Linked DNA regions of Arabidopsis thaliana. The protein of the gene in region 1 interacts with the protein of each later gene in a pairwise test. Each region holds a gene or a part of one and is shown on either strand. Other genes may lie near its edges. The genes, in order: NIMIN1, AT2G43220 and AT1G24230.

Evidence for each region.
Region 2: the proteins of NIMIN1 (region 1) and AT2G43220 interact in a two-hybrid assay, tested with the Arabidopsis thaliana proteins (one large-scale study listed by BioGRID).
Region 3: the proteins of NIMIN1 (region 1) and AT1G24230 interact in a two-hybrid assay, tested with the Arabidopsis thaliana proteins (one large-scale study listed by BioGRID).

What each region holds. Positions count from the first base shown.
Region 1 is NC_003070.9:497,327-500,499, forward strand, and holds NIMIN1 (NIM1-interacting 1), read right to left. Parts: upstream 1,214-3,173; 5' UTR 1,155-1,213; coding exon 726-1,154; 3' UTR 591-725; downstream 1-590. Other genes in the region: ARFD1A (ADP-ribosylation factor D1A), read right to left, coding at 3-153.
Region 2 is NC_003071.7:17,962,464-17,966,867, reverse strand, and holds AT2G43220 (Cysteine/Histidine-rich C1 domain family protein), read right to left. Parts: upstream 2,650-4,404; 5' UTR 2,529-2,649; coding exon 912-2,528; 3' UTR 657-911; downstream 1-656. Other genes in the region: AT2G43230 (Protein kinase superfamily protein), read right to left, coding at 1-98, 208-275, 361-393; AT2G43210 (Ubiquitin-like superfamily protein), read right to left, coding at 3,308-3,546, 3,637-3,879, 4,068-4,404.
Region 3 is NC_003070.9:8,583,441-8,587,075, forward strand, and holds AT1G24230 (Paired amphipathic helix (PAH2) superfamily protein), read right to left. Parts: upstream 1,696-3,635; coding exon 1,553-1,695; intron 1,481-1,552; coding exon 1,268-1,480; intron 1,156-1,267; coding exon 981-1,155; intron 886-980; coding exon 784-885; intron 704-783; coding exon 599-703; downstream 1-598. Other genes in the region: AT1G24240 (Ribosomal protein L19 family protein), read left to right, coding at 2,991-3,200.

The DNA.
Region 1 (3,173 bases):
ACCAACAGTAGGCATGGTTGTGGTAAGGGTTTCTCCGGTTTTGAATTTGTGCATTATTGATGATTTTCCGGTACCGCCGAGACCAAACAACACGATCCTCGCTTCTTCTTGGTGAAAAAAACCGGCAAATGGCTTTCCCAGAGTCGTCCCCATTTTTTTCTGGTTCTTGCAACGAAGTTGACTTTTTTTGGCTTTGGAAAATATGAATCACAAGGAGAGTCCTTGAGAGAGTTTTTCAAAGTCAAGTGGTGGTTAAAGCTTAAGAGTTCAGAGTTGTCTAGTCTGTTTCAAGATCCGAGGAATCACAATCAAAAGTCATCTGGTTGACTTTTGGATTATTAGTTGTCCGATTCATATTTGTTTATGCAACTAGTTGCGTATTTGTTATAATCTTTATATTTGACTAGATAACAAATCTGGTCAGCAAAAAAGGTTTAAAGTAATGATCTTCTTAAACAGATAATTATACAACACATAAAATTTAAACAAACTTTGCAATATTCAATTCTTACAGAATGATAAATTTTATTGGTTTTGGTTTTGCTCTAAAGAATTACGGTTTACCGAATCAATCCCATCTGACAGGATGTTTTGCCTCACGATTCTTTTGAGTTTATTCATTTTAAAGTTAATTATCGGACATTTTAGTTAAATGAAGGATTTAATAATCACAACGCTAACAAATGAAACATGGACAATTAAAAATAGATTAAAACTAATTGCTACTACAATGCAAGATTAAGATCTAAAGCCTTGTCTTCGTTTCGCTCTTCTGTTTGATCTTCTTCTTGTTCCACCTTTGTATTTTCTTCCTTGTGATCCGAAACAAACATCAATGGCGGCTTCAAACCCGTACGACACTGAGAGAAATCCTCCGGCTGAAACGCCGGAACTACTATACCGGACCTTTCTCCGCCGTTAGATTTCCTCCTCACGACGCCAGAATTTTCAGCTAACTCTTCTCGTCTACGTTTCCGTGCTTCTTGATAGTGTTTGATAAGCTTAAAGAACGTATCAATCTTCTTCTCTTCTTCCTCTTCTTCGTCTTCTCTTACTCTCTTATCAACCCTGATCGTCTCTTTGCTCTCCACATTCTCATCCTTGCTCATGGTCTCTAGGGAATAATTGTATAAACTAAATTGTTTAGGATACATTTAGAGAAAGTGATTGATTTTGGAGAGTGAAGAAGGCAAATAATCCTTTTCGTCTGATGACTTTCTTTTAAAGGAAAAAAATTAGTCATCACGAAACTTCTTAGAAAAAGACTAAAACACCCTGTCCCCACCTCTTTTACTCTTTAGTCCTTTTAGTTTCCTAGTTACAATTTAAACCACAAAAAACGAAAATTGGAGATATTTTTCCAAGTTAGTTAGGATATTTAATTTCGAAACTTTATAAATGGGTTTTTTGGTTCCCTGTAAATTCAAAATAGTAATCATAATTTTTATAATTGTTAAAAAAGGGACCAGGGGTAAAAGAGTAAAAGAACGCGGAGATATCAACGTTAAAATTACGTCAGATGATGATGTGTTTGGGATGACAACGTGACATGAAGCGGTTACGAGATGATGTCACAATGATGACGTAATCTATACAACACTAATCTACTTGGATATACTTTTGAAATAAAGAAAGACTCTAATCATCAAAAACTTGACTTGATGCGTTTACTTTACTCGTGGTTGGTCTTGGAGAGATATTCTAGTAGATCCGAGTGTACAGCACTCTATTACTATCAACCGTTAGATCTAATATTTCAGGCATATGTTTTTGAATCTAAGGATGGAGAATACCATAATGCTTGAAAAGGTTGATATATTAACGTACTATTTTACTATTAAATTGTGAATGATGAGGTTATATAAAAGATTTGTCGAATAAAATCTCATATTGTCGGCCACTTGTATGTAAATTAAATTAATTTGTATATGTGAAATTTGTGTGGAACAATTGGATTCCAACGAAGAACATTTTTTCCCCTATTTTTGGTATTTTAAATGAATGGTAATTAGATTACCTCTATTGATGTTACATAAACAAAAAGAAACTAGATTTTAACCCGCGGTATATCGCGGGACGATTTATTTTTAAAAATAATATATATTAAAACTTGCAAATTTTATTTTTATAAAATATTTATATTTTACAGTTTATAATTGTTATTAAGTAACGCTATACCACGAATTCATGAGACAATTGTTAAAAAAACTGAAGTTTTGACCCCTATTAAAACAGCATATTAATAATATTTTAAAATTTTATAAATATTGATTCAAATACATCCACCATATAACCCAATTCCAAAATAAAACACGTTCTGTAATTTCTTTAGGCGTCCCATGATTTTTTTTTAAAGTAGTAATTTTTAAAATTTAAGAATTATTTTTTATATATAAAAGTTTTGCAAATTGTATCATTCTCTAATACATTTATATTTTATAGTTTAATTTTATATATAGTAACATTATACATACCACATAACATTTTTGGTTTTATATAATTTTTTCTAAATTAGGATGATTTGATATGTTTAATATTAGTGGTCTTAAAATTAATGATTTAACCCATATTGAAACGGTGGATTAATTATATTTTACTTTTTTATTAATGTTGATTCAAAAACTCGTCCCTCCATGTTGACTCTGAATTATAATCTAAACATTTTAGCTAATAACATAAGAGTGCACCATATTTATTTAATAGGGGAATGTACCATATGACCTGAATGCATTTTTATCCAAATCCACCAAAACATTCTTGCAAAAATACTATAGAGATAAGAAACGATAGTCGGTTTTGATAGATATAAGATTAGCAAATATATTAGTTAGCTTAAATTAGTTAAAGAATACAAATTAAAAAGGTATATTACACTTTATTCAAATATAGTATCAAAACTTATATAACACAGAGATTTGATAATTTTTTAATTGTTGAATACTTTTTTTTTGTGCTAATTTTTATGTGATTAAGATTTAATTGATTTCATATATAAAATATTAAATTGACTTATTTGTTTATAAGTTGGTAACATATAGATATTTGAATATTCAGTATATTTTGCTTCAGTTTAAGAAATCTTTGATGACCCGTCTTTAGATTCAATAAGCCCTATAATCTAGAGATTAATCTGCAGTATACCGCAGGTAGGCTTATATTTTAGTTAAAGTAAA
Region 2 (4,404 bases), on another chromosome or scaffold:
CAAGATCGTCTACAGCTCTCGGTTTATCCAATCGAACAAAGTTGCTTTGTGTACGATCATTCGCCTGCGTTTTCACCAAAACACATAAATGAGCTGTTCTAACATGTTGCAGGAAAACAGAGGACTCTGCCTTCAAATCAACAGGCTAATAACAACAATTGTCTATCATGATCAACACAAAGGCAAATTAGGTTTCTTTATAAATACATTTGTAGATAAGTATTTTCAAATTTTGTAAAAACATTAGAATTTGTTGCGCGTTGATCTTGATTGACCTAAGACCATTACGTGATCTCAAGACATGATTTAAATAAGATGACATTTTTAATGATCAAAGCTGTGTTTGCGTGTAATGCTTACCACTTGACCACGACGATGAAAATCACGATCCATCAGAAATCAGAATGCAATTTAGAAACAAACGATCAACGAGCAATAAACCAGAGAGACGAATCAAAAGGAAAAAATGTTTGTAGACAAATGAGAGGCAGAGACGAAAGGAGGTGATGAGCTCGTGGAGAAATTTAGGAATGAAAAAAATTTGGAATCCCAAATAACTACGGAAAAGAAAAGACAGAAAACACAAAAGATAAAAGAAAAAGCTAAGAAAAGAAAGAAAACGTCAAAAGGAAGCGACAGAGAGGCGTGTGATCAAGAATAGAACAAACATCCCAATTTTGGTGAATTATAATAAAAGGTGTGAAGAATAATTACCTTCAAAGTCTCTCTCTCTCTCTTTCTCTCTTTCTCATAAATAGTTTTATGAACTGAATGAGCAAACCAACAATAAATCCAAATATAGAAAACAAGTTTATCTGAAAATAATTGAAAAACATTACACAGCCTCCATCTGTAAAAACCCATATTCTTTTTATGTTTCCAAATCCTTCCTTTCGCCTTCCTTCAGGCATTCAGAATTTCGCATTCTGAAAACAAGCTTTTGAGCAATAGTAGTACTCAATATTTTTTCTAGTAACCTTGAAAAACCTAGGGAACCTACAACGAGAGCCACAATCAGTGCATTTTGGTCTAGAATCGTGATCGTTGAAACCCACTTCAAACTTATTCTCCCTGTTCTTCATTATTATTCCAGGTTTTATGTTCAAAAAGTCCCCGGTTACGCATTCAATATGGCACACGACCCCACAATCATCGCATGTATAGAACCATCTTTCAGGATTGGTTTCGGCTTCACAGATTTCACACCAATATTTACCTTCAGGCGCCTCCTCCCCAGAGCGCAAAACTAAATAATGTGTATCACACCTATGCTTTATGACTAATGGTAGAGTGGCGCATTTGTAATCCAAAGAATAATCACAATCAACACAACGCAGCACATTGAGTTTATTCTCACCGCAAGCTAAGCAAGTACCACGATCTATTGTGGTTAGAAATAACGTGTGAGGATGAAGTTTGGGGTGCTTGAAGAAAGAGAGAGACGCACACAACACATCGAGTACCACACCCTCTTCATCCTTGTAGCTAAAACCCCTTCCATCTCTATTGCAAGCATCACAACTGAAATTTTGTTCGCTAAAATCCTTCCCGAAGCGAAGATAAAATATACCTGTGGAAAGTCCATGTCGTTTCGTAAGAGGAAGATTCGCACACTCTTCGTGAAGAATAAACTTGCATTCCACGCACTTGTAGTGCTTCTCAGAAGAGACTGGACGGGCGCAAGCTTCACAATGCATGTCTTCAGCACCATCTATAAAAACATCCTCAATAAGGAATAAGTTATGTTTCTCGTGGGAGAAATGATAAATTACCCCTTCCTCGATCACTTCAAATGGCGCAACGTCTACTACTTCCTCAGGTATCCCTTCGAGTTCGGTCCCATCCCACACGTCTTTTCTAGTTGCACATTTTGAATGAACAAAAAAATCTGGACATTTGTTGCATGAATAGCCTCCGTACGTGGTGTTGATATCTTGACGACAGATTTCACATACCCAATTCCCACGTTTGAGAGGATATGAATGTGAAATGCGATGATCATGACGATTGATGTTGATGACGTGTGGTAGATCAATACAATCATAATGAAACATGACAGAGCATGGTAGGCATACATAAGGGTTCCGTTCACCATGCGTACCACAAGCATTGCAAGTGAAGGATACTTCCCTTCCCATGAGGGTGAGTGCATGCTCGTGGCACTTTGGATGATCCACTTTGTGGGGCGGGGGCCTGTTTCCGCATTCCATATCTATGCTGAAATTGCATAACTTACAATGGTAAACGAAGTTGGAGAGTTTCCGTTGACAGAGGCTGCACTTCTCGTCAGAGTAACTAGGTGGCCCTTGGAGGAGAACCTCTAGGGGATGGTTCGGGTGACAAGGGTGGTTAATATTCTTCGTTGACCTTGGCACGCAATAGGGATGCCATTTTATATTGCATCTGAAGCATCCATAAAAAACTTCAAAGAAGGGTATAGCACTCCTATGGCACTCTTGGCAAGTGAACATACGATATTTTTCATATAAAGGATGTTCGTGCCAAAAGAGGTCCAGCGTCTTAGCCATGGGCAATGTTAAGAATGGTTGTGGATACGATGAATGAATAAGGATCAGGGAACTTTAAGAAAATTGAAAAGGTTTAACTTCAATTCCTAATTGATCTCTAAATCCTTATATTGTTGACCCGTATCACTACCCACGATCTCCGATATAAATCACTCAAGTTGATCATCGTTAGTTGTACGCAACTAATAGAACTGGTTTAGTCTTTTCTTAAGGCTCAATTTGGGGGGTCCAAGTGTTTATTATATGTCAAAAAAATTATTTAGTTAGTCCGACTAATCTTTCACCGGATTATTAAAATGCGTACTCATCGTTGACTATAGAAATATATATTAAAAAATTGTCTGGTTGATCACATATATATGTTTTGTTATCCGAGTTGATAATATTTTGGAAGGTGTGAGGATGAGCACAAGGGAAACCGCTAGGAGAACAAGAAGCTGTCAGTGAACGCCTTTTCACAGTTCAATGAAGTCTTCACTTGCATAGAAAAGAATATACAGATTCTTATATTTAAGCAACCATTTAACTCTAATATTTTTGTTATGATTGGAACCGAAGTTAATCAAACGACACTAATTAATTTCTAGAACCGAATTTAATCAAACAGAAATTGCTAGTTTTTTTAGATTTAAATTTAATACGAGCAACCGAAAAAACGGAAACGCATCAGGATACATTTTGCAGCTGGTCTCTTAAATGGTTCATAAAGAGTCAAGTATAAAAAGTAAACACCCGAGCTGTTTCTGTATCTATCCACACAGATTTCAACTTCTCTTATTTCATCGTCTATCATTACTGTCTCCACCGCTTCCACCACCGTACTGTGTGGAGTTTCCGTTCCAAAAAGCGTTTCCATCACCAAACGGAGCCTCATCTTCATTGTGATTCAACGTATGGATGTTACTTCCAATCCGAGAAGTGGTTGGTCTCCTATTCCTAACGTTGCTCCTACCTTCTGATGGATCTTGAAAGGACGTCCCTACTTGCCCCAGATTGTTTCTCACCTCCGTATTTGGTCCTATAGATAGAAAAAGAGAGAATCAGATTAGCAATTACACGACTTTCTGCATTAGAATGGATTTTATAAACTCATCATATTCCCGCATACTTGTTTGACGTTCTGGAACAGAGCTTGATGCGTTGGCAGTACCACCGCCAAAATATGAAAACGGGTTTGCATAAGACAGTACTCTTCTAACATAAGCAAAGTAACCGCCACTATTAGGGTCTGTGTTGTTGTTAGACTCCGAGTAAGATGTTCCTCTTTGATAGACGGTTGCTCTTTTTCGCGGAACTACTACAAGTGCTTGTCTATCGAACAATCTCAACTCGGATAGAGACTTATCCAGATCTGCAGAGATTAAGAGTAATGGAGTTATGTATCTACTACACTAGTCCAAACTGACCAGAAAAAAAAAAAAAAAAAACCTAAATGGCAGAAAACATCATCTTCGATCAAGATGAAGCTGGTTTTAAGGTAAAATGTTCTTTACCAAATAAAAATAAAAATCTATTGGATGCATTGTAGATTTTACGTACCTTGGTCAGTATACACCTTACGTGGGTAAGGAACCGCAAGATCATAAGCACCCAGTCCGATTGTTTGATTACTGTTCACATAATCCTTGACCATTCTCAATATACTTGTCACAGAAAACTTCTCCTGAAGGCTACTACCATCAGGTAATCGAATGTTTAAATGAACGTCAGATGCTTTTTTGGATTTTTCTCCATCCTCTTCCTCTCCTCCTTCATCCTTTGGCTTCATGGTCTCTTTTGTATCGACAGATTTTGTTAGATTAATGTCCCTTCCACTAACACCTACACCACTATCCTCTTCATTTATCACAGTTCCCTGTTTCCTTTTTCTATCAAC
Region 3 (3,635 bases), 8.1 Mb from region 1:
TTTAATTTTAGTTTAAAACCAATGGAGGATATTATTGTAAATATTTTTACGGATATATTCCAAAACTAATTTTTCGTGGATAATTTACAAAAGAAGTTTGAATTAGATGTTTAAAATATTTTCAATAAAAAGTGTGAATGATTAAAATCATATTTGAACGAAATCATGATAAAATTTACTTGAATTATCCGATTGACTTCTAATTATTTGATTTGTTGTGATTAGATTTACTTGATTTTTGTTTGCTCTGTAATTTTTGGCCATATATATAGGTTTGAGTAAAGGCTCTGTTCCTCTCTCTTTTTGTTTCTACATTAGACTAAGATGACCCCAAAATCTCATGTCTTCTTGGTAAGATTTAACAAACGAAATCATACACTCTCGTTTTAGTCTCTTATATTTACCCAAACCATTATGCATCTCATTGATCTCAAATATAGAAGCATATGAGTAAGAATCAAACTAATCTCAAATGTCTACAAATGATAACTATACACTCACTTCTCGTTAGAAAGAAGTACTCTTTTTGTCTCTTGTACCCCAAACATTATATTCCAAGCATCCTAAAATAAAGCAGAGACAGTCTTCTATAATGTACTCATCTATCTCTAGCAGATTTTGACCCTGATGGACCAGTGGTTCTCTTGAAAACGTTTGAAAACTCCATGACTAAATCTTCATGACCCTGAAGAAGTGCAACAACCTGCAAGCAAAGATAACAAAGCTAATCAAACCAAAGAGCTAAGAAGTGCAACACACAAAATGTCCCACCAAGAACCCTACCTCCTGGTACAAGTCATTTACGGATTTGTTTCCTTGTTGGTACATTGTCAATATCTCGAGAAATGACTCATATACATGGCCATCATTCCCCTGGAACCTTGCCTGTACATCGATGAATTTGTTATCTTAAATCACAAGTTAGCGTAGAGGAAACACCAAAAATAGATTAGTTTACCCATTTAGCATCCTGTATATACCTTAAGCTTGCTGATAAAATTTGCTACACGTATTCTTTTGTTATTATCAGGCTCAGCTTCGAGAGGGGTGGTTTTTGTATCTCCAGTTGAGAGCAAGACACTGAAACCAAGAACCAGATTCCGGTGGTCTTTCATGAGTTCCGTCATCCTTGCAACGGCACTAGGAGCATCGACTCTACAAAGAGAGACTTAGTAACATCAGAATCAGTTCAGTTCACATGTGTGTGTTGTTTTGTAAGCAGAAATTAGGAGAAAATCAAATATAACATGGAGAAAATAATTCATACCTACGGGCGCTATAATCATTCAAGATCTCGAGAAACTGAGCATATTTTGCAGGTTCATCACGAAATGATTCCTTCAAAGAATAGATGTATGAACGTACATCATGAAATGTTTCCTTAGCCTCAGCTGGAAGGAAGGCATTGAAACGAAGTAGCAGATTCACGTGATCTTTCAAGAGTTCCCGCATCCTTGGAACGACGGTAGCTAAATCGACTCTACAAAGAGAAAAATAACATGAGAATCAATCTCTCACATGTGTAGACTGTTTAAGAGCAAACCAAACATACCTATTAGCTCTTAAATCCAGCATGATGTCGAGAAACTCTCGATATTTTGCAGGTTGATCAGCCCCAAATGCTTCCTTCACAGCATTGATGTATGACGTCGCTTCATCAATAGTAAACGCCGGTGATAAGCTTCCTCCAACCATGGTCTAAAATTGGCCTAATCCATAAAGATTGAAGAGGTCTCAACTCATTGAAGAAACAGAAAATAGAGTGCATAAATACAAATCTTATTCCTCAAGAAACTTAATCCACCAAACAACACAATAGCCGAATTAGAAGAATCATGTCAAATTCATCGCAACAGGATCCTTAAGAAGATCCAGAATCAATCTCGAGTAGAAAGAAAAGAAAACAAAACCAAGAAGGATGAGCAAGAAACTAGAAAATTGCTCGAGCGCCTTTTAACCTAATCGTATCTGATGATGGAAGGAGAAGATGATCGTAACCCTAATCTTCCGGTGAGCGAAACTATGTTCAATCGAATGAGGAAGCAAGTATGTTACCGATATATAAGCAGACCAAAGACGACAATGAACAAGAAGCAGCTTCGTCTTCGTCTTCTTCGCAGAGTAAGGGAGTTCAAGATTTCTAGAAGCAAAGTAAAACTTCAGAGACTTTTTTTAGAGTTTTTGTTCACGAGTCTATATTTATACTAGGGATTATCATATATTCATACTTGACTTCAATTTTTGTTGTAGTTGTAAAACTATAATTTGTAAGAGAAAATTGAAACATAAATTTATAAAGATTTCTATATATCAAAGACGATGATGATGTGATATTTGTATTAATTTTAATCCTTGGTAAATTCTTATATAAATTCGTAATTTATATAATTTAGGAAACATATTTGTTGTCATTAGATTTACTTGATCTTTATTTGGTTTGCTCTGTTTCTCTCTGTTTTCGTCTATACGTTGAACTCTGCTTTGACTTTTGAGTGCTTACACTCTCGCCTCTCGGTTTCTAACAAATATGACCCCAAACCAAAAATCATATATGTACATGCCAGAAGAAGAATCGACCTGAATTCAAATCTCTATAATATATGAAACAATACAATCACTTTTCACCTCAATGTTTTTTTTTTGTTAACATTGAGGTTTTCATATGAGGTCATATCGATTTTGTTTTGAATTATTTTAGATTATGATTTCTACATGGATAGACAAGAGTTTTATTGTAAGTGCATGTATGTAATGATGTTCTGTTCTCTATACAATAAGCATCACACTAAACTCTTTCTAGCAAGAAGATGTCAAAGAAAAAAGAAAGGATGTATTTGATAAAAGCAAAAAATATCAGGGGTATATATGCAAATTACCAAAACAAAAATAAAGAAACCTGAAGGAGCAATGACAAGGGATTTGTTTTTCTCAAAATCTCTGAAAGCTTTTGGATATTTGTGATCGCATAGATCGATTCCTTTTGCGGAGAAATGCAATTGATTCGTGGCAGTACAAGGTTGCTTCAGAGGCATCGTTTCTCCATCTCCAACACTCTTCCTTTCACTTCTTCTTCTTGTGGAAGCTGGTCTGCTAATGAATCGAGGAAGCTAGGCTTTGATTCTTTCCCTAGTACTAGAGCTGCGACATATCTCATTAGCTCGTTGAAAAATGCCGGCTTTTCCTCTTTGGCAGTAGTACCTGTAAGCCATTGTCCTTCTCTGTCTTTGGTTTAAGATTGTTTTTTACTTCGTGTGGATTTGTAGAAATGTAGACGAGGTTTTGGTTGGTAATAGAGATCTTATGTCTAAATTGGTTTGAAAATTGCTAGGAATGTAAGAAAAACGAAAACTTTGATCTTGGGTTGGTCTCGCTGATTACTGATGAGTGTAGTCACTCTCCTAGCTTCAGATTCCACTGAATTCATCTTCCAAAAGCTCAGAGATCACTAAATAGAAAATGAACTTAATCAATGATCTAAAGCTTTGTTGCTTGTTTTTCTTTTTAAGCTCTTTGTTGTTTTACTTGCAAGAGATGTAGATATAAAGGAACCAACTTCGTGCTCTTGTTACTTATTTTTCAGCTTTGACACTTAAGTTTTATGATTTCACATGTTGTTGTTCTACTTTATATGTTTT